Arabidopsis thaliana: one gene and its partner. The protein of the gene in region 2 interacts with the protein of the main gene of each other region in a pairwise test. Each region holds a gene or a part of one and is shown on either strand. Other genes may lie near its edges. The genes, in order: AT1G44830 and AT3G11280.

The links.
Region 1: the proteins of AT3G11280 (region 2) and AT1G44830 interact in a two-hybrid assay, tested with the Arabidopsis thaliana proteins (one large-scale study listed by BioGRID).

The regions. Positions count from the first base shown.
Region 1 is NC_003070.9:16,925,044-16,940,707, reverse strand, and holds AT1G44830 (Integrase-type DNA-binding superfamily protein), read right to left. Parts: upstream 7,010-15,664; 5' UTR 6,917-7,009; coding exon 6,281-6,916; 3' UTR 6,140-6,280; downstream 1-6,139. Other genes in the region: AT1G44835 (YbaK/aminoacyl-tRNA synthetase-associated domain-containing protein), read right to left, coding at 46-106, 202-255, 354-413, 761-799; AT1G44820 (Peptidase M20/M25/M40 family protein), read right to left, coding at 12,354-12,452, 12,541-12,780, 13,304-13,441, 13,518-14,357.
Region 2 is NC_003074.8:3,526,766-3,543,317, forward strand, and holds AT3G11280 (Duplicated homeodomain-like superfamily protein), read right to left. Parts: upstream 8,230-16,552; 5' UTR 7,857-8,229; exon of another isoform or gene 7,631-7,856; 5' UTR 7,629-7,630; coding exon 7,225-7,628; intron 7,100-7,224; coding exon 6,712-7,099; 3' UTR 6,446-6,711; downstream 1-6,445. Other genes in the region: WOX5 (WUSCHEL related homeobox 5), read left to right, coding at 841-1,144, 1,254-1,498; MEE34 (Mov34/MPN/PAD-1 family protein), read left to right, coding at 2,224-2,410, 2,801-2,893, 2,974-3,055, 3,235-3,331, 3,464-3,539, 3,696-3,754, 3,894-4,016, 4,143-4,200 and 2 more; AT3G11290 (Myb/SANT-like DNA-binding domain protein), read right to left, coding at 9,001-9,594, 9,667-10,170, 10,246-10,530; AT3G11300 (uncharacterized protein), read right to left, coding at 12,582-12,742, 12,824-12,910, 13,106-13,283, 13,420-13,536, 13,625-13,708; AT3G11310 (Myb/SANT-like DNA-binding domain protein), read right to left, coding at 15,771-16,552.

The DNA of each region.
Region 1 (15,664 bases), on a different chromosome or scaffold from region 2:
CTATGCCAATATCCACAAACGAAAAAAGGAGAAAACATATGTTACCTTTCATGTCAACTTTCGTATCCACCATCGCTGAAACAATATAATACCGATGTTTCTTGTCCTGCAAAAACAAAATAGAGGCATATGCACCATTAACAATCAACTAATACTCTAACTTGATAATGCCTTTAATGGTGTACCGCTTTGAAAGACTACCTTCAAGAAGAGATTCTTACTCAGTGCACCCTTACTACTGCTAACATACTTGGCCTGAAGATTTAAATACACAAAACAAAGCCTTATAAATCCATCTTTAAACATCATACACTTAAGTTTTAAAAATCTAAAACATTTTAAGGTATATTCACCTGTTCTTCGACGGTTAGTACAGGCGGATGTTCATACTTGGAATAATCAATCTCAAGTTCCTGAAAGATAGATACAAATCCTTAATCATCAATTCACATTGCCACATTTTTTTAACATTGACACTAACAAAACGTGTAACACCAAAATTCTTGACCTAAGGGTTAGAATCTAAAAGTAGACATTGAAAAACTTCTGAGTTCAAGACGACTATACACATAACTTGGAATCCATAGATACACATCCAAATCCATTAATACACATAACTTCTTCAAATAGAATCAAGCATAAAACGAAGTAACATTTTCCGTTCTCTGCTAATGATTTATCTAATCTTATCTGACAAATTCCAACAAAAGCAATGCGAAATGAAAATGATGTAATTGAGTTTAAAGGTGAAAATGGAAACCTGAAGTCGATCAAGCAACTGATCTTTGGTGAAACCCATTGAATCGAAAAAATCAAAAATCAGAGAATTTGGACTGAGAAAGGAGCAAGGAACTGCAGATTTTGTTGAGAAGACGAAAGTTTAGGTTTTGCAGATTTTGCAGTACTGGATTGAAAAACATTAAACCTTCTTAGTAAACTAGAGGATTACACATTGGGCTTTTCAATCCACGACCATACTTAACTTGCAAATGCCTAAAAGGCCCAACATATAACCACAGGTCATAAGAAAATACAAATTTTTAATTTAAAATTAAACTGTTTTAAGTTGTCATAAATGGTGCACCACAAATAAAAAAAAGTCATCATAAATTTGGGCTACGAAAAATATCTTTACAAGAAGGATTGATTGTAGATATTTGAAACTGATTGTGTAGAGTTTAGTCTCGGTGGCGTATTCGCCTGATGATTGACCAGCTTTCTCCAACCTATTAGACGAGTTTGAATGTTCCGAGCTTTAATTTCTTATTTTAAAAATTTTTTTTTTTATAAATATTAGGAGGTTCTGGACCGAATCCCGTAATCTCTCAGACCCGAAACCACAGCATGTAATATTAGTTTCGTCCCAAACGTCACTCGAATCGGCGACCTCTAAGGTTCGTCTAGGGTCTTTACCAATTGAGCTAACGACGCTTGGTTCGATTTCTTATTTTTACCGTTTATGTAATTCTAAAGCATATTGTTTAACCTGTTTTTCTCGTTTATTGTTGTCTGATGTTATTTTTGTAAACTCTTCTCCTCTAAATTGGGCAGCCGATCATAGAGTTATATTTTAATATATGTGTGGTTGATAAAAAATATATATATATTAATATTTTCTAATAACATATAAATATAAAAGTAGTTAGAAATGAATATAAAATAGTTAAAAAAATATTGATTGATTTTTGTGTAAATTATAAAAATCATTAGTTATGTTTAATTAATTATATTTTTGTTGTTGTGTGTTTAATTTACGTGTTTCAACATTTGGGGGACTGACTTTGTGGATTTGGATATGGTTCATTCAAATAGATTTTGCTAGGATTTTTGTTTAATTAGTTGTTTTAATTTCTTGAATAATTAATCTACGGCTTTAAAGAGTATGGTTACTGCTTAACACACTATTCTTAACTTTTTTCTCTGATGTGCTGAAAGAACACTTTTCAGCCCCAATACAACAAAACAATCACTGGTATGAGAAAATAAAATAAGAAATCCATATTTTTTCATCAAATAAGTAATCAATTTTGACTATGTATTAAGACCATCTCCAATGTATAGCTCTATATCTTGTTCTAAAATAGAGTAACTCAATTTTAGAGATGAGTTTTTCTCCAATGTATATCTCTATTTTCTACTCTAAAAAAGAATATTCTTAGAAATATTCTATTTCTATTTTATATACTAATACTTTTTAATTATATAATTTAAAATTTGACCCCATATATTATAGATTTGCAAAATTCGTATAAAATATGAAATTATTTAAATTAAACACTTATTATTTATTAAAAATCATTACATCATATAAAAATAATAAAACATTACAAATTTTATTTTAATTAACACCATTAGAATATTTATTATAAATAACACGGTTAACACCATTAGAATATTTGTTTTAGTTTTTTATGTTGTTTATTTTAAATTTAGTACTTGTTTGCTTCTTGTTAAGTTTATAAAACTATTAAAATTAGTATTTGTTTGTTTGTTAAGTTTATAAAACTATGTGTTGTAATTGTTGTTTGTAAAATGATTATATGCATTAAATAAAAAAAGTTTAAATTTGAGGGACTAAAGTATAAATAAAAAAATTGAACTCAAAAATAGAGTTGAGGATAGAGTTGTTCTATATATAGAGTCAATCTGTAGAAATCTCTATTTTTGAGTCAATTATAGAGTAGGGTTGGAGAAGAATTTTGCATTTTGACTCTAAAATAGAGTAGGGTTGGAGATGCTATAAGCCATTTTAGAGGTAAAGTGTCCGCAAAACGAAACCCTAATTATGAGAAACAAACAGGAAGAGAGGAAAATTAAGATTGCTTTCTCCTGCTAAGTCGATAATGAGATAGACTAGTAGCATTTAGCTTATGGTCATTTTGAAAAGTTCGTGTATGTATTTACTAGGCTAAACCGCTAAAGTAATTAGTATAGGAAAAAAGAATTTATAGAGTTCATTAGTCCGAGTATGTTAAACAATTAACAACCCCCGGTTCGCATATTGGAACCATAAAATACTTACAATAACTAAAATAGGCGTATAATGGATTGTCTAGCCATCGTGAAATCGCAATCTTAGTATAATTGACAAATGACAAATCAATTAACATTACACGATTTAATATTCGTTATAATGAGACAACATAAACATATAATTGAGATCATGATTTCACGACCAATGTTGGATCTATTTCAAATACTGCCTAGTGATTTAGCAACACCAAGTTTCTTTGTCTTTTGTATTTAGCTACATAACACCAAAAAGTGTTTGGTTTTCCTTTTCCGAATCAAAATTATAAATATTGTTCTATGAATGTTCTCTAAAACTTTTAAACATAAATCATTGAGAAAAATAATGCCATGTTATGTGTTTTGGGAGATCATTAAGATATCCCCTGAAAAGAAAAAACTCGTCTCGATCCGGAGAATATGTCATGTGAAAGGTGAAAGAAAAATGAATGTAAGGCACTTTTCATGGGACCAACTATAACCACAAGCCCATGTCAGAAACTCAGACCCAAATTTCTAATTACAGTATTTTTAGTAAGTTTTTTTCAGTGATATTTATCTGCTCGAAGACAATCAAATGACGGCAAAGAAAACATATAGGCATGGTCAATTTACAACTTGTTTGTATATATACAAATTGCAATGATTTTTTTTTTATGGCATTAGTTGAGTATACTAGTATCTATCAATTTCTTTTGTTAATGGGTCAAAGATTTTGCAAAAAACAAAAATAAAAATAAAATTAGAAAGATAATTAACCAAGTCTCATTAGCTCAATTAGTAAAGATGCTAGACAAAACTTAAGGTCACCGGTTCGAATGACGATAGGGACAAAACTAATATTATATATTTTGTTTTTGGGTCTAGAGAATTACAGGTTTTCCCCAAAACCTCCCTAAAAAAAGGAAAAATAAAGATACTCGAACACATTATTCAGCAATCAACATTGTTCATTATCATTTTGATCCTACTCATTTCACTGTTTTTGAACGTTCAATAATCAAACACAGAAAACTGTCATCTTTCATTTTAATATCTTATTTAACGTGAGACAAAAAAAAAAATTGAATTGGTAGAGTGACTTTGTCATCGTTTTTTTGTCAACATAATCACGTTTATAATTAAACAAAATACCTTAAAAACGTTTTATTCTGGCAATACAAACGTTCATATGGAGATCTCGAAGGTTTGGTTTGACTGACAGTTACTCTTTACCACTTGATTTTGCATGACTCACATGTGTATTGAAAACAACAAATTCAGCAGAATAATAGACAATCCTTTGATTATTTTGTATCAAACATGTTTAGTTGTAAGATTTTCCCATAAATGGCCCTACAAGTGGATTACAAAAATAAATGTCTTAGGCTCCGATTATTAACCATTTTTGAGGAAAAAAATGAGTACGAAAGTCGTGTTCATCTTTGTTCCTCAGTTTTTTTTTTATCATTTGCAAGGTATATTTGTTTCATTTTCAGACATATGGGTCCTACATTTTTTCTTATCATTCCTAAAAAAAAAGAATGGTAGAACAAAATTGTTCCACTCCAAAATTGTAGAGGAACCAAGAGAAACAAAAAAAATAAAATTCGTTTTTATTTATTAAATAAATTTAAAATAGCTTTTATGATAATATTTATAATTATATATATAAAATTTTCCATATATTTAGTATATATTGATATATAAATTGTTTTTTATCAAACTTTCAATTTAATGAATGTTATGAATTTATTTTAAATTAGTATAAATAAATGTTTTAAAGTGAATTTTTTACTATAAAATAAATAAATGTTTTGAAGAGAAATTTATAATATAATTTATTTTAAATTTATACAAAACTTTAATTTTAAAAGAAATTAATAAACAAAATTCAATAAATAATTTTTTAGTAATTATTATGTTAAATATTAATTCACCTTTCTGGTTACCATTTACCATAATCATTTTGTTCAATTCCTATGTTCCTCTTGGTTCCTACTTATGACCATTTTTCTTTTTTTCTTGTTTCTTTTTGTTATTTTTCATTCATATTCCTATCGTTTCTTTTGTTTATCACCAATCGGAGTCTTAAAAGTAATTACCAATCACAAAAGTTTTACCAAAAGCATCATTCTTAGTCTTTATTTTCAAAGTTAATTTTCACCGCCTTTAACTATTCCGATATTGCTTATACCTTCTTTTACCTATAACAAACTTGTATGGTTTTGTATCACCAATGGTATTAATGTATATTTGAGGGGGGGGGGGGGGAACTTATCTAAAGAAAAACAAATCATACCTAAAAAAATAGAGATGGAGTTTCTGAGGAGCAAGGGTAAGAGAGTGAATCATGGGACCCCATCTCACAAAGAACACACACATAACAAGAAACCAAAACAACTCATGTGGCTTTCTGCTCAAATCTACTGTTAGATTTTTCTTCAGACCAATGTTGGAGTAAAATGGATGTCAATTTTTTTACGATATCTAAGCACAAACGTACACAGTTTTCCACGTACGTTAACTCTTTCTCTTTGGTTTTACCAATTCTAACCAGTCACCACACAAAACCATTCTGCATCTCTTGTCTCTTCTCTCTTTTTCCTTATCTTTCTTCTAAATAAATAATATTTATACACTTACTCTATTCAACAATAATTAAGTAGGATTAATCATCGCCTTCTATGACAAGCCTCATGAAACTTGCTTCTTACTCTTTGACTTTGCAAAACTTTTCACATGAAAAATCTGCTTTCTGTTTAACTCATTAGCTAATACTTTTATATCCTTAATAAAGAAAAATCATATATACAGTACTTATATCGCATAGTCATCTTACCACCACTTATTTTGTATCATGTACACATTTACATCAAACAGTGTTAGTGTTAAAGTCAGTAACGCCAAATTTTGCATTCATACTATAAAATCTGAAATGATTGTTTTCAACACTAACTCTTAACTTTTAGGTTTCAGAATTTAATCAACAACAATATGATTCTGTACTTTTTCGTTTTTACCTTTTAACTTGTTATCATTCGAAGTTCTTTGTTCAAAAGCTATAAATCTATTTCCATACTTAACCACTACTACTAGATTTAGTGAACTCTTAACATGAAAAATATCTAATTTCAAAAATAATTTAGATATTGGTACAAAGATCCCCAAATGTTCCATACATTGTGAGAATTGATAGAAAAGGGAAGAAAAAAATGTATAACACATTGTATAAGTTACATAACTCAAGTATATATATTGAAACAAAGAATAAGGTATAATGAAAGTAGAATCAGCAGAAGTTCCATAATCTGATATCTCCTTCCTCAAAGAAATCATCAGAAAGTGATGTTGTCAAATACGGCGCGGAGACTCCATTAATGAACATGAACTGATCATCACCATCAAAGCAGTTGTACCATGATGATGATTCAGACAAGGAGACTTGTTGGTCATACTGTGACATGGAGACAACATCATAGAGATCTTCAGATGGAGAGGAAAGCAATGGAGATGAAGTAGAGACTGATGATGAGGAAGGATCTGTGTTGGCAGCAGCAGCTGCAGCTGCTACTCTTTGTATAGACTTAGGGGACATGTCATTGTTGTTATCACCATTGTTGATAATATGGTAGAGAGAAGTTGAGATCTCTGGGAAGTTGAGATTATTAGCTGAGGATCCTTTAAGACATAGGAGTGCTGCGTCGTAGGCTCTAGCCGCGGCTTCAGCAGTTGAGTAAGAACCAAGCCAGATCCTTGTCTTTTGATTAGGAGCTCTGATCTCTGAAACCCATGAACCCCAACTTCTCATTCTCACTCCCTTGTACTTCTTCATCCTTATGGATGATGATGATGTTGATGAGGATGATGAAGATGATGATGATGGAGATGACATTCTCTTTGGTGTCTTTTGAAGTGTTTTCACCATTTTTGATACTAATTAAGGGAGGAAGTTGGAGGAGAAGAATGGTGTGTTTCTATTTATAGAGAACAAAAATGGAAAGAGAAACATAAAGAACTCAAAAGAAAAAAAAATACTATGAACATAGTCAAAGAAAGTAGCATGGGGCACACACAAAGAGATTAATACTTTTCTTTTAAATAATGTAAGAGACAGGTGTTTTTAATTTATTTATAAAAAAGATTTTCCTTAATCACAATCCCATATGCTACACCCAATCACAGATCACTAATAAGAGAATCCCTATTTTTTATTTTCAAAAATGCATATTTATTGATTTGACCTCCAAGGCTCCAAGCTAATTCTTTAGTTCCACAAAAGTACACTATTGTTTACAACTAAAAGTTACTACTTCTTGAGCCTCAGAATCTTGAATAAAAATGTAAATAACAAAAATCAGTACTCATATGAGAATATTAATATCAAGATACGACAGAAAGTTATAAAACATTATAAGAGGAAACATTGGATTCTATTTTTAGAGGCAACTTCTAGGAGCTAAGAGCATGTGATTTTTTAAGGTACAAACAAAAGACAAAGTTAATCATAAGAATAATTTAACTATCGAATTATTTTGATAAATGAGATGCAAAATGAAATCACATGCATGATTATAGATATATATATATATATATATATAATACAAAAATTACAAGTTTTTTTTTTTGGTTAAAAGGCCTAAACATAATTCAGAATCTTAAACGTTAAAGTAGCTGAAGTCATGTTTACCAAGGTAATGCACAAGAGCTGGTGCTCTTCTGTCTTAATGGGACTTTTAAAACCGCGTTAACTAGCTCTTTGTGTCTCCTTGTCACACGTAAAATTCTCTCTGTAAAAAGGCTTTTACTAAATTAATTAAATTCAGATTCTTTTGTCAAACTGCATTGTAATATTAAATAATATTGTACTACTAACTAAATAAACTAAAGTAAAATCGTCAAACCTCATAATAGTCTTGCACTGTTTATTAACTAAACTAATCTGCGGTTATATTTAGTCGGCACTAGAATTAAATTAAGACGCGTAAGAGTACTACTAAACTAATCTATTCGTGTTCACGTTCTAGCCAGACGACTCTATTTCTTTTTTCTCTTTTGGGGTACTATAATATAACAATAATGAAGGTTTTTTATTCATATCAAGAAACGAATCAACAGAATTGTTCGTTGGAAAATGCAGGCAACATTTTACAAAAGTTTATGATAAAACAAAACCAACAATGTTCTACCATTTTTATATTAATATTTGCACTCAATGACTGTAATTACAAACGTGGTATTTGAATAAATAATCAAATTAATTCCATCTAAAGAGAATGATTCAAATTTTGACTATTTTACTTTCTTTTAAGAAAAATAATAGTTATAACTAAATCTTACGTGACGAATTCTTTAACATTAGTATTCTATGTGCACATCTAATTTATCAAAATGAAGTTTTTATATGTTTTGGCTCTTATATCTACAACTTGTAGAACACATTTCCTCTACTACATTATTTTCGTTATGTAGACATCTAATTTATAAAACATATTTATGTTTTTGTCATATAATCATGTTATCTATGTTTTTGGATATATCTATATTATTTAGCGGGTTAAAATATTTGTATATCCAAGCTTATCAAATAAATTATACTTTTCAAAGTCATTTACGGAAAAAAAACATTTTACATTTTCTCTCAATATTTTACCAATATGACTTTGCTATTTTCTAAAAACAACTATAACATTCTCATTCACCGAAAGATATCTCCATTTCATACCATTTAACTAATTCACTATTTTACATTTATTTTTATTTACCAATAAATATTTTCTTTTCACCACAATGTCACCATATTCACCCAATCACATTCTTTGTTGATTGTTTTAGTGTCTAGAGCTCGACAGTCTGAAGCTATACGTGTAACTGTGTAAGAACAAGAAGAAGATGAGTTACATTGTGTCATAAAGCTTGAGTGATCGGATCGGGTAAAATCCGAGAAGCTAAAGCAATTAAGCTAGCTACCTAACGAAGAATAGTGAGCGAACCCTACCTGAGGAAATAGACAAATAGAATCATAAATGAAGATTCATGCATAATGCATGTACTTTTGCACTAAAAATATCCTATTCGTAGTTTGGACAATCTTACCTGGCACCGTACTCAATATATGACCTTCCGTACCTTTCTTATCAATCAATCAATATTTTTCTTACAAGAAATATTTAACAAAGTTTTGTGGTTACAAGAAATAAATTAGAAAGAAACATTTAATGGTAACGAGTTAAGCCAGAGTGGAAATAAATTCGTGTGGTGGAAACTTAAGAGGAACGTACGGAGAAGTTTCTCATTAGGATTGAAGAGTGTGTTGGATGGTGTAGAGGCAAATGCACATGTGTGGATTGTGACAGAACAGAATCAAATCCTTTGTTTTTGATTTCATTAGATTGAGAAATTTCCTAGAAGCAGAAAAGATTTATGACAATAGAGATTTCAAGATTTTAGTTGTGGTTGTTGAGTGAATTCAGTAGGAGACAATACTCCAAAATTTACATATTTTTTCTTTGATACTGTAAAATTGATTCAAGCCTGGTTCGTTTTTCCCACCTTGGCTCCAAATTGTAGGAGCTACATCAAAGTTCACTGCAGGAGATTAATATTGCCTAGTTAGATATAGAGTCAATCGTCTAAATCTATTTGAGTGCGTTTGTGAATCAACATATGGTCAAGAAGCCTATCTTAGAACAACATATGGACATCATTGACGTCTTCAAATGATGTCCGATCTTGGCAAAAGCTTTGTCCTAATGTTTAAATAGCCCATTTCCACATCTGTAATTTGTTGGGATATCTCGTCGTGCGTTCATCTTTGAATCCTTTTTTCAATGCATTGAAAACAATGATTTTAGTTCAAACACGCTTAATTTAGCTCTAAATATTTTTTAGGACGAGGTACAAAAAATATTGCTTTTGGGGTCCATGAGTTATAGAAATGATAGGTGTGCACTAGCTATCACTTGATGTTAGGGTCCTTAGGTTGAGAGTGGATATGAAGGCCTAGATAATGGTACTCGAGGCGCTATAAATGGTATCAAAGTTGAACCTAGATGAGTGTGGAGTCATGTGACCTCCCACCATCGAAAATGACGGCCCTGATACGCAACAAGGACATTGTGCTTGATTGGTAAGGGTGATGGTAATATATACCTTGATTTTTAGAAATATACAGTAAAACCTCTATAAATTAATAATGTTGGGATTGTAAAATTTTATTAATTTAGAGAGGTTTTAATTTATCGATAAATTAATAAATTTTATAGAGAGACTTTCCTAATTTAGTAACTTTTAAAACATTTCTATAAGATTCTTTTTTCTAGAAAATATCTTTGTAGAATCAATTACAAGTTAAAAATAATATCATGTATAGAAAACAACAGTAAAAGTTTTTGATACAGTAACATATTAGAATTAAATTTCAAATAAGAATAAATACAAATTTAAGCAAAACAATATTAGAAATATGTTTCAAAGAAATTTCTTACATATAATGTATATATATAATTGATATATTTATGCAATTATTAATTTATAATATTGATGGGACCATATATTTACATAAGACTTTAAAAAAAATTATTATCTTATTAATTTATCGATTTGTGTTACTTTTTACACTGGTCCCAACTCGGAACCGGAAGAATTTATTAATTTATAGAGATTATTAATTTATCGAGTATTAATTTATAGAGGTTATACTGTAGTTGTACATGAAAAGCGCTTAAGGAAATTGATTTGTTTACCTATGTCACTAAGTAGCCTCGACTCAACAATAATTAGAGTTTTAGGGTAATCTTTCTTTTTTGGATCCTTAGAGCACCTCCAATGGTATATCTTAGGTGTATCTTAGGCTAATATCTTAGAATTAAATTCTGAAAAATAATTCAAAACAGATTAAAAACTAAAATTCACTTCTTAGCTTAAAGTTTTTTATGAGTGATAAATACAATTATGTGTCATGTTCCAAAATTTTAATTTTAATAATTGTTAAGATGCAAGGTTAAGAACCTTAACCATTGAAGATGGTCTTACTATATATTTAAACTAAAATTTTCATATTTTTGAGCAAATTTATACACAAAAAAATGTTGGACCTTTGCTAATATTTTTTAAAAGCGGATCTAAATATTAAAAGACTGGGCTATAGTCTAAATATTTTTATTAAAATGGGCTTTGAAACATAAGATTTTTTAGGAAAAAATGTGACTAGGCCTCTAGACCGCTGCCTCTTTCTCTACCTATTTGGGCCAAGCCTGGTGTACTTATCGTTTTCGTAACACTTACCGACTAAACTCTAGAGTTTATCATGCTTGAATTATTGGTGATCTATTGGAAACTGATTTCCAGTACAATGAAACAGAGGATAAAACACATAAAAAGATCTCATGATAATTTATAGGATCGGTAAATAAGTTTTTTTTTTAATCTCCTAGGATAGCATGCCGACTATCGAACGAGAATGAGACTCACATACTAATAGAGAACATAGATCTATAATGGTAGTTCATATGACACATTAAGGTTTATTTGACTTTGAGACATTAAGTTTCAAACTAGATGATCAAGTACTATGTGATTTTAGAGATTCTCTTTTCACAAATGGTAGAAATACACTTTTTCCCCGTTTTCCCGAGAAAAACAGCACAAACTCTTCTAACATTTGGGCTTACAAGAAGAAACTAAAGTCCACGACGAGAGAAAGGTCCACAACAAAATTGCCGCCAAAGGAAGAATTTATCTCCAGCTCAAGATACCATCATGAACAGAATCACCAATAATTTTTAGTCCAACACAAGTAAATAGAAGATGAAGTAGATCTGAATAAACCACAACGCATGCCAGGAAAAATGAAGCTCAAGTTGTCTTAAAACCATCTTCAAAGCAAAATAGCTGAAAGAAAGTTGAAACTAAACCGGAACCATAAGTTGCACAACTGCGAAAACAAAGACCGGAAGGGTCGAGACTCGGGGAGAGAAGACCCACACGAATGGTTTGTTTATTTTCAGAGCCGTAAAGTCAATAACTAAATCAAGTGATATGAAATAATCTCTGATGCTATGCAAGTGATATGTTACAACAACTCCTGAAAATTAGAACATTGAGAGCTAAAAAGATCAACACTTTGTGAAATCATGCTCCAAGCACCAATGACATTTTCTCTTCAGAGTTAGAGAATTATGCAGGCAAATCAAATGTCTGATATATATACAAAGGATTATTACCAACCACTTAAGGGTGTTAAAGCAAGAGTAAGTGTTGATAAAAATAACTTACAGATGAAACAGCTACTACTTTTCTTGGTCATAGCAATGTGAGCCTTGACCATAAGCAGTGTGTCACAATTGTTTGCATATATACATGCTTCAAATCACTTGAGCAGATTCTCCCTCAAAGGAACTTAGAGCGCTGATAACCGATTCATATACTTCTATTCCTTTCATGAATACAGTATCCTTTAGGAACTGAGGCCACAATTAAGTGTTTATATCAGTACTGTGATTAAATATATAGACTCAAAGATGGCAATAGATAATATCATCATGTGAATACCTCGTTATGGTCATGCAATAAAATAGGCGTATTGGTCATTGGAGAGAACCCAAAAGTTGGAATTCCCAAAGTGCGAATAAAGCGTGAATCTGTAGTTGAAGCCAAAATTTCAGGCTTTGCGAGTTTTCCTCCCATTGCTTCAACAGCTTGCTTGAAGATAGACCACCAAGGATTAGAATCATTTACTGGAGTCATTATAGGTCGCCCTAAATGATCTCTTAACTTTCCTTTCTCTTGTATCTGTTGCAAGAAAAAAAAACATCTGGATGTGACTAAAACGAAAACTCTTGCAACAGGTGATCACTAGCAATGGTGTTATATCAAGGGATTTTCAGTCTATCAAACCATGCTTCTTCATTCATCCAACTATCTAAGGTCATATTTCACAAAACCAGGCTCGAACAGCTTCTCTATAACCCTAATAGACAGATTAATGGCAGTAGAATAACAAGAACTATAATGAACATTATAATCAAAACAGAAACGGAATCTAATGTGGAACTATTGAGACTTAATAAAAGTAGCTGAAAGGAATCTCAAACATACATTTTACTAATGACGAAAGCAAAAGTTAAGAACTTTGATACGATCTCTGATCTAAGTATATGGTCAATGCGCTCTTTCACTCTATTTAGCCATGCTTCTTCACAAAACAAAACTACAAAAACAGTTCTGTATAACGCTATAGACTATAGAGTATGGACTTTAGCTGATATTAACATTTCAGATAGCAATACACACAGAAACAACGACATCTACTTACCGAGTAGGTCATGTTCCTAATAGAAGGAGCCCATTCTTCAGCAATTCTTTTCTTCATAACATCAGGATCTGCCATTGGAGGCAACCTTAAATCATACCCAGCTTCTGCTTCTGAAGGCTGCATATTCATCACAAACCCCTGCAAAAGAAAAAACAAACACTCTTATTCTCTTGAACAACAACTCCACACCAAAACAAAAACTCATCAAACTCACAGTAGTAGTAGGAGTTCCAGCTTTAAGATAAACTGGATTCACAGAGATAACCTCCGAATACGCAGCTTTACCAGCTTTAACAAAATCAAACTGTGACTCTCTAAACCTAGAAATCAACTCAACACTCTTCATCAAATTCTCCATAGCTGAATTATCATAAAGCTTAGCGCCATGACCTGGAATCCCCTCAGCTTTAATAACAAAATGCCATGGAACTCGATCAGCGTAAAAAACCCTAAATTCATCGCCAGGATTAGCTTGTCCTTCATCCATAGCAAATCCCAAATTCAAATCCTTAAACTCCGATGACGCCGCGAATTTCATCATCCCGTCGAATCCACCGATCTCTTCTTCAGGAACGTAAGAGATATGAATCGTACGGAGAGGTGAGAAGCCTCTCGATTTCAAGTTTCTGATTGATTCTAGATATTGAACTCCGATACACTTGTCGTCTTGCGCTCCTCGAGCGTAGATGTGGCCGTCGATGGTTTTGTGAGCTGAGAACGGTGGATATGTCCATTTCTCTGATTCGGCGGGGACTGAATCGAGATGAGAGTTGAAGAGAATTGATGGGAGGTTAGGGTTTGAGCCTAGCCATGTGATGAGAAGAATTGGTTTGCCAGAGATGAATTCGATTGTTTTGGTAGTGAGACCGATTGATTGAGCTTGGTTAATGAGGAAGGAGATTGGTGCGGTGTAGTTAGGGTTTGGATGAGCTGTGTTGAATCTTAAGTATTGTTGGAATCGTGTGATTGGTGTGTCTTCTTCGGAGGAGGAGGATTGGAGTGAGAAGATTATGGAGAAGATGATAAGAGTCCAGAGAAGAGGAGATATCGCCATGGAAGGAAGTTGAAAGGTTTTTTTTTCTGTGACACCAAAGTTCAAATTTTTTTCTGAAAGTTTTAATTTGTAATATAAATGTATTTAAAATGAATTAAAACATGAAGTAACATGTTTGAGGAATGAATATTTTTTTAATTACAGTCTAACGGAAAAAACTAATTTTTATTTGAATTTTTAATATCCAATTATTTTGGTTAAAAGAAAAATACACGAAATAATAAAATTATGTAATTTAAAATTTAAAAAATTAAATATTGTTATTTTTAATTAAAAAACAAAAAAAAAGCATTTAATTATTTGGGTATTAAATTGCACAGTTTTATTATTTCGTGTATTTTTTTAATCAAAAATAATTAGATATTAAATATTCAAATAAAAATTAGTTGAGTTTTTTTTAGGTTTTTTCCCTTTTAAAAAATATTTACAAGGATTTTTTGAAAGATTTAAAAGGGGTTTGAAAGTATTTACATGTGTATTGAAAGACTTTATAATGATTTTAATAGATTTTAAAATGATTTACAAGTGTTTTTAACAACTTTACAAAGCTTTTAAAATGCTTTGAAAAAACTATACAAGGACTTTTAAGAGTTTTTTCAAAAATTACAAAAAATTTTAAATACAAGTTTTGGCGGGAATTTATTTGGCCGGAAAAAAAAAATTGGCGGAAGTAATTTTCAACCTCTCTTCACCAAAAGCCAATTTTTTAGCTAGGTAGATTGCCTGAAGTGTTATAAGGGATGAATGGCTCACCTCATATCTTGCGCTAGGAGGTCCAACAGGGCTTGACACATTAACTTCACAATATTGAACTATTTCTAAACAATATAATCATCCAATATTGCCTAAAAGATACCATCAAGTCCATCTGATAAACTTAGGCCCAAAGTAAAGAAATCCCAATCCAGAAAACTATTACTCTTTGAGGAAATAAGCTGAAAAAATCCAATGCAGAGACTAAGAGACACGTGTGAGGCTATTAACCAATGTTGAGACACGTGGGTAGATGAATCAAATGTCGACGCCGGTCATCGTCGATGTAGAAAGCGACCTAAGGAACCTTCAAAACTACCGGAAACCGCTAGAGCTTTTAAACAAAAGAGGGTTAAGGAATTACAATTCTAAATGTAAAAATTGAAACGCAAAAGAGTCCAATCACATCGAATATAAAGAAATCGAGGGAAAAAGCATAAATCTAAACCGAAAAACAATCCGGCCAAAAATAAAAGAGACACCGAAGATAAGCGGTGAAACTCTAGATCTTAGCTAGCCCACCATTGCTATAGAAGCCACCGAAATCTAGACGC
Region 2 (16,552 bases):
CACATCTTCTGTGCAAGAGAGACAAAACTACAATCTGTTCACACAATGTCATGATGTTTATAATTAATCTTATCATCTTCATTCATATCAAACTAATATCGGCCATCCATCCGTCTCAATAATGTAATTGCATACAATCTTTGTTTAGGACTTGCTAGCTATTTCAACTTATTATTGATTACAGATTAGATCTACAATTTGTAAAGAACTTCTAACTTCAAAACAAATACAAAAAAAAGAAAGTGAATGTAAAATTTCTAGTGTCATAATTTGGAATAGTTGAAGCATTGAAGTTACAATATCGAACGTTAAAATATTGACACTAGATAGTACATTACCACCAAGGCTTTCTGATTATTCTTATCATGTTATATGAATAGTAAGAAATTACGTAGAACGCAATTTAAGTGTGTGCGAGTCACCACAAATTAAAGGAGAACAAATTCAATGTTTCAATCGCTGGTTCCGATATACAACTTATGCATGCCATGGCATGAATGCGAGATCCAATTATATACTAATATATACACACAAAAACATATGTAAATATAGATGGAACAGAAGCCTAGATAGGTTAGGATAAAGAAAACGATCAAATCTGCAAAGATCAGTCTCTCCCAAATCCCCAAAAAAAACAAAGCATGCATTTCGTAATAAACAACTCATCATAAAACGACACATAACTCGAAAACCTCTCCTCCCGACATTTCATCAATTCATTTCTCTTTTTATTTTCGAAAAGATGAAAACTTAATAAATTATTATGAACAATCTTACTATATATATGGATATATACACAGGCCCTAAAACGTAAAACAGTTGAGGACTTTACATCTGAACATGTCTTTCTCCGTGAAAGGTCGAAGCTTACGTGGCAACAATAACGGAGGAACGGGGACGAAGTGCGGGAGATGGAATCCAACGGTGGAGCAGTTGAAGATATTGACTGATCTGTTTCGAGCCGGTCTTAGAACTCCAACAACTGATCAGATTCAGAAGATCTCTACGGAGCTCAGTTTCTACGGCAAGATAGAGAGCAAGAATGTTTTCTATTGGTTTCAGAATCATAAGGCTAGGGAGAGGCAGAAACGTCGTAAAATCTCCATTGATTTTGATCATCATCATCATCAACCATCAACTAGAGGTAGTCTCTTTATATATATATATATATATATATATATATATAATTATATATCATTATTGTTTTATATGATATTTCTATATATTTAATGGATAATAGTGTGTTATTATAGATGTTTTTGAAATAAGCGAAGAAGATTGTCAAGAGGAAGAGAAGGTGATAGAGACATTACAACTCTTTCCGGTGAATTCATTTGAAGACTCCAACTCCAAGGTGGACAAAATGAGAGCTAGAGGCAATAACCAGTACCGTGAATATATTCGAGAGACCACCACGACGTCGTTTTCTCCATACTCATCATGTGGAGCTGAAATGGAACATCCACCGCCATTAGATCTTCGATTAAGCTTTCTTTAAGTCATTGACCACAATAACAAAAGAAAAAAAACAGATGCTTTAGCCTTTAAAATGTTGTTGTATTTTGAATTATGACATATTATCCGATGCATGGTTTATGAGATATTTTCCAATGCATGGTTTATCAAAAAGTTGTCTCATTTTGTTTGATATAAGAATCTATGTTATGGAATGCGTATATGTATATCATCATATAACTAAGGTTGTGATTTGTTAATGTATTTTTCTATATTTTTTAAAAATAATTTAAGAAAGACATCATTAACGAATAGTTCTATTTGCATCACAGAAATACTAGAAATATCAGATAAACTTAAAACTTAAAAGATGTTAAAAAAACAAACTTAAAACTTATCTCTATCAATTTACAAAATTTACATCATCTCGAAATACTTAAGTCTTGATCAACAACCATTAGACCAAAAAACTTGCACAATCTTATCAGAATAAAACCAACTCTTTTAAACGAACAGATTAATATCCTTAATATTATTTTACCCAGACCCATTGTCTTTTAGGCCCATATAATTGGGCTTTATAATACAGAGAAGGCCCAAACTTTGGTTAAACCCATAGTGCCTAGAGAAGATTAATTAAAGGGGTTTTCCTGGAGAAGAAGCAAACTCAAGTTCCGTCGGAGATAAAACGGAATCAAAAGTTGAGGTTTTGATCATTCCCGGAGAAAGAAATTTAGAATTACTCAAGCGAATTTGATTAACCCAACAATGGATGTTATAAAGACGCAACAAATATCGGCAAGGACAATCGAGAAAGTGATCGTTCACCCACTTGTCTTGCTTAGTATCGTCGACCATTACAATCGTGTAGCCAAGGACACGAGCAAGCGCGTCGTCGGCGTTTTGCTCGGAAGTAGCTCTCGTGGTACTGTTGACGTCACCAACAGCTACGCAGGTGCCTTGATTTTACTTTTTCCTTTCTCTTTGTTCTCTTCGATCTCACAGATCTCTGAAAGTTTGTTAAGCTCTTGCTAATCTCATAATTCAATATGTTTAGTGTTCTTGTCTGAAAATTTACTTAAGTTTAGTTTTTTTTAGCTTTTGGGTTGCAAAATTGTCTTACTTTTAAAATCGTTGTGTGATACTTGGATTCAGTCAAACTTGGTCCTAGTGGCCTAATTCCATATTGGAGTGATGAGTATAATATGGTGGTTGAGTTAATTTCTTAGAGAATGAAACAGATTTCATTTGATTTTGCACAGTACATTACACTGTGAGCATGTTCATAAGTGCGTTGTTGTTACTTGCACATCACTTGTTTGACTTTTTGTTTGTGGTTTTACAGTGCCTTTTGAGGAGGATGACAAAGACACAAGCATATGGTTTCTTGATCACAACTACCACGAGTCGATGTTTCACATGTTCAAGAGAATTAATGGTATTGCTCGGGAAATATAATGCTTAAGAGTATATATGTGGAAAGCCTCTTTTTTGACTGATTTTCATATTTGCTTTCAGCTAAGGAGCATATTGTGGGTTGGTACAGCACAGGTCCTAAACTTCGAGAGAATGATTTGGATGTTCACGCTTTATTCAATGGGTAAGACCAAAATCAGTCTAAAATATGAGATATGATGGTCTAATCTAATATATGGTTTGGTGGTCTGTTTAAGTTATATATGTACAAACGTTTTAAAGCATTCACAATCTATCTCTCCTCTCTTGCTAGACCTTATTTCTGTATTACTTCGGTTTTAATCTTAGTTTCTGGTGTTGCAGCTACGTTCCAAATCCAGTGTTGGTCATTATTGATGTCCAACCTAAAGAACTTGGAATCCCCACAAAAGCATACTATGCGGTTGAGGAGGTGAAAGAGGTAAATACCAGCCAATTTTCTAACCATTTTACTTGCTCGACTGTTAAGTTGCATCTGACATACTTGATTTACTTTCTGCATTAGTTATATCCATATATCTAATTGCCTTGATCCGAACTTCTCTCTCTGCAGAATGCTACCCAGAAAAGCCAACAGGTTTTTGTACACGTGCCTACAGAAATTGCAGCTCATGAAGTTGAGGAAATTGGTATGTCTACATGGGGAAACAAATCCTTTGATAGTTTGATTTCCTTATTTCAGAGCATAAGAATGATGAGGGAATTTTTTTTTTTGTAAATGCTTCCGAGGAAACTCAATGGAGTCCTTCTTGCTTCGCTTACGCCAGTTGGTTGGTCTTGAACAGGTGTGGAACATTTGCTCAGGGATGTAAAAGACACAACCATCAGTACCTTGGCAACTGAGGTTATTTTCTTCACACATAACTTAAACATTTCATCATCAAGCTTCTTAATGTTTATTCAAATCATGATTGTTGCTCTCAAAACAAAATGTGAGGAACATATATTGAGGAAACTGAAATTATTTGTGAACTGTATTTCAGGTCACTGCGAAACTTACTGCTCTGAAGGGATTGGATGCACGACTTCGGGAGATCCGGACTTACCTTGACCTTGTAATCGAAGGAAAACTCCCATTAAACCATGAAATCTTATACCATCTTCAGGTAACACTTTTAATTGTAGTTGACTAGTAGAATCAAACTGGTTTTCGTGTTTGTTTTTTTCTCAGTATCCGTGACTGCTAGTAAGGATTATTCAGCTAAATTGAATACTCTTTTGCAAATCTGTAGGACGTATTCAACTTGCTTCCTAACTTGAACGTCAACGAGTTGGTTAAAGCCTTTGCAGGTTTGCTTTTTCTTCCTTGAAGTTTTATGTTCGCACAGGGTTTCTCTCATTTGAACTCTTTTTTTTTTCCTAACTTTATTCATTTTGTACAGTAAAAACAAATGACATGATGCTCGTAATCTACCTTTCTTCGCTTATCCGAAGTGTAATCGCCCTCCACAGTTTGATCAACAACAAGGTAAGATAGACCATCATCTCTCTATTTCTCTCTAGTAGGTGATTGATTTGAATTTGCTCTATGCAAAATTTGTTTTGTTAATCTGTGGATGCTATGTTTCAGTTGTTGAATAAGGAACATGAAAAAGCAGAGGACTCAAAGCCTGTTGACATACCCTTAATCACTGAGAGTTAAATGCAGCCAAATTTCGAGCTTTGGGAAGATATTTAATCGGATGTTACTCTGTCATTTGCTGCATGTGAAGAGGGTCTGTAGGGGAACAAAACGGGTTTGGTCTCGTTCCGATGATCTTCTATTACTGTTGTTTCTACAATGGTTGTTATTAGTATGTCGTTTCTGTCTCCAAAGATTCTTTTTTCATCGATTTTTATTTCTAGTTTCCCTAATTCTGATCTTCAAGGCAATCAAGTCATAGAAGATAACACTTACCATAGTTTAAAATTTAGAAAATCACTAAATTAGATTCGTATACATCGGATGTGTAGAGATCTAGTCCGGGGTTATAAAAATGTTATCAAAACAAAGTGTGTGAACGTGTGTTCACATTGATAGAGGAATAAAGGAAGAAGATTTTGTCATGAAAATTGAAAACTAGAAAAATAAAAGATATATTGAAGGGCCGCCAAAAAAAATAAAGAGGTGTTGAAGGCAAATAAAGGTCACACTAGTGGCGTAAGCTTCGTGAAAAGGATATGATGATAAGCGGAAATTTTGAAATTATGAAATCATGAACGTGCTTTGTTACGCATTATGCTTTTAAGCCTACTTTCGAAGAACATTTTCTTTCTTCTTGATAACAAAATGAACAAAGATTATAAATTAAGTTTTGTCGTTTACATAAAATATGTTCATGATTAGGAAGGATTTAGCCTTAAGTCGCAAAGCTTCTCGACGTTTCTCCTTCTTATTTTATTGTTCAATCTTCTTTATGATGTTTGTACTCACGGTATATGTCGGTATCGTAATAATACATGCAACTTTTGATGATGAATTATTTGACATATTTAAATACATCAGTTTTACAAAGAATTATCACAATTATCATTTTATAATTGTTATTCAACAATTTTCTAGAATATGTCCTTATAACTTTGCTATGGAAAAGATGTAACAATTGTACGTAATTTCACTTTAAATTTTGCATCCTGTTGTTCTCAAAGTTATCAGCATCGCAAATCTTAGTCATAAAATAGTGTATACTGTATAGTATATAGTAATGCACGTATGACGTAAGAACATTGAATGTTTTTTGATATTGGTACATCAGTGTAAGGCATGTAGATCCCATCGAAGCGACCAGATCGAAAGTGACAAAATAACAAAAGGGTGGCAAAAGAAATAAAGCCATAAAGTTGCAAGAAAGGAAAAACTACTTTGTTTTCTTTATCCGAAATAGGACTCGCAAATTGCAGTAGCATATGTCACAATTGATGATCAAGATTCATCTAATACATATAGAATAAGATATGGAAATCTATTAAATCCGATTTCTTTGAATATGAACTATGATAAAACTATTGCTTGATTAAGTGTAGCCTTTGGTCCAACTTTGCATATGAACTGTGATAAATAATATTTCAAAGTTGTTTCAATATAAATTTATCAAAGTTATTTCAAGTTGCATAATTCAAATGTGAGCAGTGTTTAGATTGGGGCACCAAATGATTAAAAAATAAAATAAACATTTCATTCATATATGTTTTTTATACAAATGACACCATTATACGTAATTCTAAATACGTTAATATATATATGAGTCAGGAGGTTGGTGTAATAGATGAGAAGAATGAGGTTCTTTGGTCAGAAGTGGAAAGCAGACTCAGCCTCTATTTTATACTCAAATCAATTCTTCATACCTTCCACCAAAACTTTACTCAATATTTAAAACTATACTATAGCCATCTTCTTAAATAAATCTAACCCAAAACATGTTTCACAAATTTCTCATTTTTGTGTGGTGTTTGATCTCTTTGAGTCTTTTTTTTTTTTTTAATCTCTTTAAGTCTTTATTACAGTATATCTTTATAATTTGCATTTAACACCATAAAATAGATATATTGTGGTAAATTGTTAGGGTTATCAACTTGTCATAAAGCACAAGTACTCTTTTTCACAACTATAAGTCTATAATTTAATCGAAAAGAAAACACAGATTTTTTTTAACATAACAGGTATTTAGTAGACAGAAACACAAAAATACAGAGTAAAAACAAGTTCTTACTTTTAAACCACACAATACATATATAATAAACTTGGTTTTGCTTATATTTCTCTAATTACAGTTTCAAAACTCAGATTCTTAAGAACGCTGAGTTTGGGGATTCTATGTTGCCTTAAGCTCCGGCACTGAAGACATTTTCTCCGGCGAAGTTAATGGCAGCTTCGAATGAAGTTGGTGATGGAGAAAACAGATTTTCTGAAGAGAGATTCTGACCCATAAATATTACTCCCTCCTCCGTATCATCCTTATCGATAAACCCTAAATCAGGGAGAATATCTCTATGATCGGAAAAGGAACGGTTGAGATTGGCATTGAGAAGATTGCCGGTTGTGATGTCATGGATACTTGGCCTGCGTTTGTCCTTGGCTCCGGAGAGCTGTCTCTGGTAATACTTTTGGGCGTGGCTCGCCACTTGCGTTGGCGTCTTTGACACCACGAAGTTTCTCGATATGTTTCTCCAATCTCCTTTACCGTACTTGAGAAGGCCTAACAAGAATCTCCTGCAAGGAACAAGAAACAGAGCATTGAAAACCCTAAGAAAAAAGGGGATGACTTGCGTTGCAAGGAACCTAGGAAGAGTGACTTATATGGAAAGAATTCTGTAGAGATGAAAGAGTGTCTTAACCTGTGTTCTTCCTCTGTCCAAGGGACTCCTTTCTTTCGATCTTGATCAGATCCTCTAGCTCCACTAGGCCGTTTACGACACATGTCCGTGTCAAACCCCAAGGGAGAAGAAGCTGCAGGATAACCAGGAATGGGAACACGTCCTGCTTCAATATCGAAAACGTCTTCTTCAAGCTTACTATATTGCTTCATAACATCAAAAACAGTCTTTCCAGGGATCATGGAAGCAACTTTAAACCAGCGATCAGGCGAGTCTTCAGCGTATATCGCAAGAGCTCGTTCGAACATCTTGTTCTCTTCTTTAGTCCAGCTACCGCTACTCGAGCTGTGTAAGCTCACCATCTCTTGAACAACGAACCGGTGGTCAGAGATAGGTAGGTGAGAGAATGGATGCAGAGTCTCCATACCTAAAAACAAAAAAAGGGAAGAATAAGTTTCAACTACAAACACAGCTCAAAAAAGTCCATTTTCTTGCTCTATGTGTGGAGGAAGCTTAAAAGATAGATTTGTGATATAAGGAAATAATGGAAGCTTTTATATATAAGGTTTAATGATAATATAGTAGGAATCAAAGAAGAAGAAAAACAAAAGGGAAGGAAAAATGAAGAATCGTATACTGAGGGAATCAAGAACCTGATTTGGGTAAGAGATTTGAAGCATATATAAAACCGACCCTCGAATCTGAAAAAAGACTCAAAGCTTTGAAGAATTTATGAGAATCTGCAAAAGTGAGTCGTCGAAGGAAGACAAAAACAGCAAAGCAAAGCCCACTTGAGAGATAGAGAGAGAGGAGAAGACTCAGAAGCTGAAGAAGACCCAGTAAAGAGAGAGAGATAGTGAAGGAAGAGTAATATACAGAGAGAGAAGAGTCACTGTAGATATGGGAACAGAGTGAAGAGAAAGAAAAGGAAAGGTTTCTTTATTTTTGGGAAGATTTGGCGTATTTGGATTGGAGAACAGCGAATGGCACCACTCCACTCGGATTCTTGCGGTTCATTTTTCTCAGAAAGAAAAAAAAAGTTGATTGATCTATTTGATTCTATTATTTAATTCTTTGGAATACGACAAATTTGTTCTATCGCCTTTTTTCTGGTCCACACGGAGACATACTGTATGGTTTTGTTATAAATATAATGTTTTGATAATTACAATCAAAAGCGCCTGTAGCTCAGTGGATAGAGCGTCTGTTTCCTAAGCAGAAGGTCGTAGGTTCGACCCCTACCTGGCGCGATTTATCTCTTTTTATATCTTAATTTTGTCTCCTTAAGGAGGTTGTTTAGGATTAAGTTCTTACCTGGAATTAAGTGATGATTGGTTTTAGTATCTATGCGTCGGTGGAAAATATTTTTAGAAAGTGTGACAGATTCAATAGCTAAAGCTCATTAAATCCCACTATCTCTCCATTTTACTTGTGATGCTCACATAAGTTTTAAATTACTTTCTGCAAACAGAGAAAATCAAATAAAAGTATATCGGTTGTATCAACTAATCAAACTGTACAAGGTTTTTTAACTTAAGTTAATTTTGAAGAAGAGAAGGCTACATAGAGTCATAGACGATAGGATACGAATGCTTTGAAGTTTATTTCTCATCTGCAATAGAGACAAGAGTAATTTCTTGCGACAAAAGTTAACCAGTAACTCTTATAATATTTCGACTGTCATAAAATCTTTCAAGGAACCTAATAATATAACATCTCACACTGTTCAAAAGATAAATCAAGAGTGTTTAGCATAATAAGACATAAGCAGAAGAAGTTTGGGAGAATATGACGATCTTAGGCAGCAATGGTAAGGCCACCAGATCGAAGTCTAAGCAGCCAAGACATTCTCAAACTTGAGTTCTTCAACAGCAAGAAAATCTCTCTGTACTCTTTCTTCACAAACAAATCCAACGCAAACAAGTAAAGATCACTACCTTGCTCAACCTCTTCCATGGAGTCCAAACACTCAATGCATTCCCCAATGGTATACTCGTACTGCCTAACCGATGCACTCACTGGACTCTCCTTCATCAGCTCAGTTTTTAACCTGTGGCATCCCGGAGTTACAATTTCAACATCTTGTAACCGAGACTCTGCAAAACCAACACTGTTAAATCTCCGGTGCTGCGGAGTAGGCTGCTCATCATCGTCATCATTGTCATCTTCATCAGCTCCACCTTCACTACCTGAGACTGGCTCGTTTGTGTAAAGTGTTGATAATGGAGTTGGGTCATGTAGCTGTGGTGATTCGGAATGATGATCAAGCACTCTCCTGCGATAAGAACGGAAATAGGCTTTTCCTGGTTCTATAAGTCCTTTGAAGATGGTTGCTAGTTTATCCGCGTGAGGAAGTTGTTTCCTTCTGAATGGTGCTGCTCTATGATTCTCCTGTTAATCAAAGAACCAATGTTAAGCTGCAAACTTAATCAACTAATATAAAAAGTCGAGTAGCGTTTATACCTTCAAGTAGTTTTTCCAGTCTTCATCAGTAGCACCAAATGTTCGAGAAGTTGCATCCCATTTCATGACAGGAGCACCAATCACTTGACACCAGATCTTCCACGATTTCCTGGTGCAATCCCAATGATTCTTGAGTTGCGGTCTGGTGAAGCTTTTACCGGTATTCTGATTGATAGTCTCAAGGATCATTTTCCAAGTTTCCTTTGGATAATGTGAGTCAGGTCTGTTTCCTTTTAAAGCCTCTTGGAACAACAAATCAACAAACAGCTCATGTGAAGACGGTGACCAGTATCCTTTCGACTGAGGACTCGAGAAATTAGAAGCGCTTTGCGTGTCTTCTTCATCTCCAGTATTATCATTATCTTCATCACGATGCTTGGCTATTCGCTTCCTTTTGCTACCTGAAGTACCTTCATCATCTAAGTTACTATCTTCAAAGATAAGCTCAAGTTTCTCGAGGAACGATGGAGGATTCAACCGATACTGCCCAGCCTCAGGATTCACCTGTCACAAATCCAATCATGAGTTTTATTATAGACTCAAGAAACAACCAAAATCAACACAGAAGATAAATTGTACATGTAAATAGTTGGCCCAGTCTTGATCATTAGCACCAAAAGTGTTAGTCTGAGGATCCCATTGCATATCACTGCATTGAACAAGTCTACACCAAATCTTCCACTGCTTGATCATTGTATCCCAGTGATTCTTAAGCTGGTTTCTGGTGAACCTAGCGCCAGTTCTTTGTAGAAAAGGTTTCAATATATGCTGCGTTCCAGGTTGATTCCCTAACATCTTTTGCTCGACGCATAAGTCCACAAATACTCTGTGGTATTCTGGTTCCCACGCAGCTTTCGGCATCATAACTCTTCACTATACGAATAGATAAGTAAACAACAACAACATAATTGAGAAGTATGTATGGACTAAACACACATTTGTCATCCCACAATTGCTTTTGATTGGAAGCATTACAGGACTTATCAATTCCAAATGCATAGATTCTAACAAATTCATAACCAGGAGACAACAAAAGACGAGAGACCCAGAAAAAAATAAAATAAAGCAAAGATTTTTGCAAGGCAAATTCTGAAAATCTATTAGATCATTCATGTGATGAAAATTAACGCAATTTAGAGTTAAGCTCTGTACACTAGATCGAGTACTATTTGGCCCTAACATTGAAAGAACGAAGAAAAAAACGATTTTGAGATTCGCAATTTGTCTAGATGAAATGGAGAAATCAAAGGTGTGAAATGTTTACCAGAAAAACAGCGGCGAGAGCGATTCTGAGTTGTGTTGTTAAGAGTGTGGCTGAAAAAGCCGGATCGCGATTTTTCTCGCTGTTATCGGATTTTGGCGTTTGTGCCGCTCGAGACGGTGCCTTGTTTTCTCAGATCACTAGGCGTCTCATTTTATACCGGTTATATCCGGTTATCTCTATTGGCAACTTTTTTATTTATTGTGTTGACAGGTTTCAATTTGTGGCAATAAAAGAGAATTTGTCTTCAATTCTATTTAATCATATTGTGTGATTTTAAGTGTTAATTAAGAAGATAGTCAAAATTTTGAGTCTTATTACAGCTTTATTACCATGATTTGTTTTGGTAAGTTTAAGCATGGATTTTTATTTGGGAAAAATGTCGTTTTATACGTGAACTTTCAAAAAGTGGCCATTCAATACGTGAACTTTGAGGTCGGCCAAATAAAACATGATAAAAACGTTGACCGCCATTTAACACAAATCAAAATGTTGACCAGGCCAAAATCCCCGAGACGTTAACTGGCATTAACGGATCCGATAACCGCCGTTAGCAGACGTTAATTATTTCTGTTAATACCGAAAACGACGTCGTTTTACATAAAACGAAACAACAAAATCCCCAATTCGATTTCGAAATCCCTAATTCTATCGTCATCTTCTTCCATCTTCTTTCAAAGCTTCAAAGTAAGAGTCCAGGAACCCTAACGAATCGAGATCCTCTCGACATCCCTTCTTCTCCGAAAGTTTCACATACTGGATTTTGCTCTTGGCGAGCTAGCTAACAATGTCACGACGTTCGGCGGTTCTTAATGGACCTAACTAAAACGCCCAATAAATTTTAAACCCATTAATGTCTATCCCTTTGTGTCGTAAGTCCACGTTTCTCCACCATTCTTTCATCATCATCGTCAAGCAATGTTTATTAATATTATGAGCTACTTCCACAAGACGTCTTTGTTAGTAAAGAAATGGGAAGTCGTGCAGTATGTATACAACGTGTGGCACCACCGTTTTTTGAAGCCTGGCAAGTGAAGAAGATAAAAACAGTTGGTTCCTTTTTTGTGAATACTAGTGTTAAGAGAAGAAGAAGCACTAGTGTGAGATGTAGCAGCATAGCTACATGGGGAAGAAGATGACGATAAAATTAGGGATTTCGAAATTGAATTGGGGATTTTGTTGTTTCATTTTAAATAAAACGACGTCGTTTTCGCTATTAACAGAAATAATTAACGTCTGCTAACGGCGGTTATCGGATCCATTAATGCCAGTTAACGTCTCGGGGATTTTGGCCTGGTCAACATTTTGATTTGTGTTAAATGGCGGTCAACGTTTTTATCATGTTTTATTTGGCCGATCGCAAAGTTTACGTATTGAATGACCACTTTTTGAAAGTTCACGTATAAAACGACATTTTTCCCATTTTTATTTGTATTTGTTACTGTATATTGGTTATTAATTTGGAAAGGATATCTAATAATATCATGATTCATGAACCAAAACCAGAGAAAGTATTTCTCTCTAGGTTAACTATAATGAATTTATATGAGTCATACTTACAAGGAAACCCTAAACATGTGAACTAGTTTGGCATTTCATTGGGCTTCTTATGAGACAATATTTGGGCTTTTAAATTTAATAAAGAGAGAACTAGCTAAACTAAAGCTTCAAAAATCTCCCCGAAAACTATGATTTTCTCGGTATGAGGCGGAGGAAACGGGTAAGGTACACAACGTTTCGGAAGAATGACAATAGTACCCCCAAACCGTTGCTCTAAGCCACGATATATGAGCCTGCCATAGAAAAGCGTTTCGCCTTCCGTTTGACCATATGCGTGAAATGGTAGAGAAAGTTGACTTGTTGTTCAAGAAAACTCCAAAAATCTGTAATACTTACATTGAACTTGTAGCGACGAATGTTCGTCAAATATAGCAGAGAGAGAAGCCACAAGAAGAAGAATTCTAGAACAACTAGCCATTCTATCTCAAGAATAAGCTACTAAATTAAAAATAGATATTCATAATTTAATATCTTATATACACTAGTGAAAACAATTTTAGGGTACTCTCCAACATATTAACTATTACATATGCTGCTCTCGTGTGTAGCCTAGTCCTGTCTTCTGGTTTAACGACTCAACCATCATATTCCAAGTTTCCTTTGGATAATGTGAGTAACCTCTGGTTTTGATAGGTCTGTTTCCTTTTAAAGACTCTTGGAACAACAAATCAACAAGCAGCTCATGTGAAGACGATGACCAATATGCTTTAGACGCGCTTTGCGTATCTTCATCAGGATGATTGCATCTTCGCTTCTTTTTGCTGCCGGAAGTACCTTCAAAGATAAACTCTAGGTCCTGAGAAACGATGGAGGATTCAACCGATACTGCTTAGCCTATGGATTCACCTGTGACAAATCCAATCAAGTTTTATTACGTATAGCCTTTTAAAAAACCACCAAAATCAACACTAAACATAAACCATTCTTTGTACCTGTAAATAGTTGGCCCAGTCTCGAATACTGGCACCAAACGTCTTTGTCTGAGGATCCCATTTCATATGTGATATGACTGCATTGAACAAGTCTACACCATATCTTCCACTGCCTGACTATTTTATCCCAATGATTCTTAAGCTGGATTTTCGTGAGCATCGTGCCCGTCTTTTGTTGAAAAGGTTTCAATATATGCTGCAATACAGGTTTGTTTCCCAACATCTTTTGCTCCTTGCATAAGTCCACAAACACTTTGTGGTGTTCATGTCCCCACATGGATTTCGTCATCATAAATATTTCCTATATATGTATAGATAAGTAAAGACGACAACAACAAAAAAACGTAAGTTCTTATTAAAGGCTCTAATTGGTAACACCATTAAAAAGCGGGGGAAATAAATATAAAAAAAGTCTGAATCTATGATTGGTTAAAATTAATCTCTTACTGGATCACGAAATTGTTTTGTCAATCTATGATTCCAAGGGGTGTCTAAACACAGCTTTAAACAATTATAACCAAATCTATACAAAATATACATCCAAACTTGTCTCGAAAATTTAATGTCATGGCTAAATCTAGAACTAGGCTTAAAACTCATGAAACAACCACCATAAACCATTGCAATTTGTTTTGATTAGAAAAAAAAAAAAATCATTTCATAGCAAATGTACTTGGGACAATTTTCACAAACGTAAGCATACAAAAACATCCCAGGAGACCACATAAGTTATAACAAGTGATTTTTGAAAGGCAAATTCTGAAAAAAAAATCAACTAGATCGAGTGCTCATCCATGTGATGAACATTTATGCAATCTAGAGTTGAGTTATTTACACTAGATCGAGTGTTCTGTTATCACCTGAACATGAATAAAAACGATTTTCTGAATAGCTATTTGTCTAATTGAGAAATCGAAATAGTGTCTAAGTAAGTGTAAACAGACCTCTAGTAAAGAGCGATTGTGATTATTATTTGTTTTCTCATATTATTGTGATTTGTTTTCTCAGGTTACTAGAGATCTAGGTCCCATTTTATATTGGATAGAGCATGTATGGGAAACTTTTCTATTGTGTAAGACCACTTTCAATTAGTTGCAAGAAAAAGATGATTTATCTTCCTATCATATCATATTGTGATTTTTGAAGGTTAATTAGTCACAATACATATTTTAGTTAGGTTAATTACATGAATTTTTATCATTATTTGGTATACAATTAAGTTTATTTGCTCGCAAAATTTGACTATTTTAAATTAGATCATAAACTATTATATGTGCAAAAAGTGAAAAAAAAACAACTGATTTTTGTATATTACGTACACGTTATTAATTAGTTTCAATGCTATGAAATTTTTATATAGCGAAAAAAATTTACGTTTGAAATTTGAAAATAAATTGTTGTTTTTATATGGCATATTATCTCATTAGGTTAACTATTATGAGTTTTATGAGTTTTTTTACTACGTTTACGTGTTACATTGATTTTTCTTTAATTAGGTATACAAATGAATTTGCGCGCTTAACTATTATGTGCTTTGTTTCAAATCAGAGTGAAGAGAGAATCAAAGCTCCGAAACCCTTACTTCTCATACATTATGAATCATATACTTGCAAGAAAACCCTAAACATATGAGCCAGTTGGCAGTACATTGGGCTTCTTGTGAGACAATATATGGGCTTCTTATGAATGCTTTAATAAAGAGATGAGTTAAATGATCCAGTAACTAGCTAACTAGAACTTCAAAATCTCACCGAAAACGATGATTTTCTTTTCTAGGTAAGAGGCCGACCAAACGGGTAAGGGTAAGGTACACCACGTTTCGGAATAATTACAATAGTACTCCGAACCGTCTCTCTAAGGCACGAGATATGAGCTTGCTATAGAAGCGTTCCTAGTTTGCCCGTGAGCGTAAAATTGTAGACAAAGGTTACTTGTTGTTCAAGAAACTCCAAAAATCTGTAACACTTACATTATATTGAACTTGTCGCGACGAATCTTCGTCTCAATAAAATATAGCAGAGAGAGAAGCACGAAAAGAAGATTTCTAGAACAAGAAGTAGCCACTCTATCTCTAGTGATCAAGTCATAAGCTAACAGTTTAATATCTTACACTATTGAAATGAATTTTAGGGTACTCTCCAACAAATTCAATATTGCCTAGCTATATGTAAATATAAAATAAAGGATTTTCCTAAAAAGATAGTTAAGAAAAAATATAGAAAAGAGTTTTCCATAAAACCAATAAACATAAAATCCCAATAAACACATAAATTGTTTTCTTCAAAAAATAAATAAAAAGTTTTAAGCATAATTATAAGACACAATCATAAGTTTAGGAGAATAATAGGATCTTAGGCAGCCATGGTAGAGCCACCGGATAGGCGTCTAAGCAGCCAAGACATTCTCAAAGTTGAGGTCTCCAACAATAAGAACATCTCTCTGCACTCTTTGTTCATAAACAAATCCAACGCAAGCATGTAAAGTTCACTACCTTTCTCAACCTCTTCCATGGCGTTCAAACACTTCATGCATTCTCCAATGGTATATTCGTACTCCTTAACCAATGCATTTGATGTAATCTTCTCCACCAGCTCAATATTGATCCTTTCACATGGCGCAGGAGTTACAGTTTCCACATCTTGTGACTCTTCAACACCAACACCGTTAAATGCCCAGTGATGCGGAGTAGGCTCATGATTGTCATTATCATCAGCTATACCTTCAATTCCTGCGACTGGTTTGTTGATGTCGAGTTCTGATGATGGAGCTCGGTCATGTGGTGATTCGACAAGATGATTCAACACTATGTAGTGGTCATCATCAGCTCCACCTTCACTTCCTGTGACTGGCTCGTTTAGGTCGATTTCTGATGATGAAGCTGGGTCATGTGGTGATTCGAAGTGATGATCCATCACTATGTGGTGGTCATCATCAGCTCCACCTTCACTTCCTGGGACAGACTCGTTAATGTTGAGTGCTGATGAAGGAGCTGGGTGTTGTGGTGCTTCGGAATGATGATTCACTCTCTTGCGATAAGGACGCAAAGCGGTCTTTCCAGGTTCTACATGTCCTTTGAAGATGATTGCTAGTTTATCAGCGTGAGGAATATGTTTCAATCTGAATTGTTCAGCTC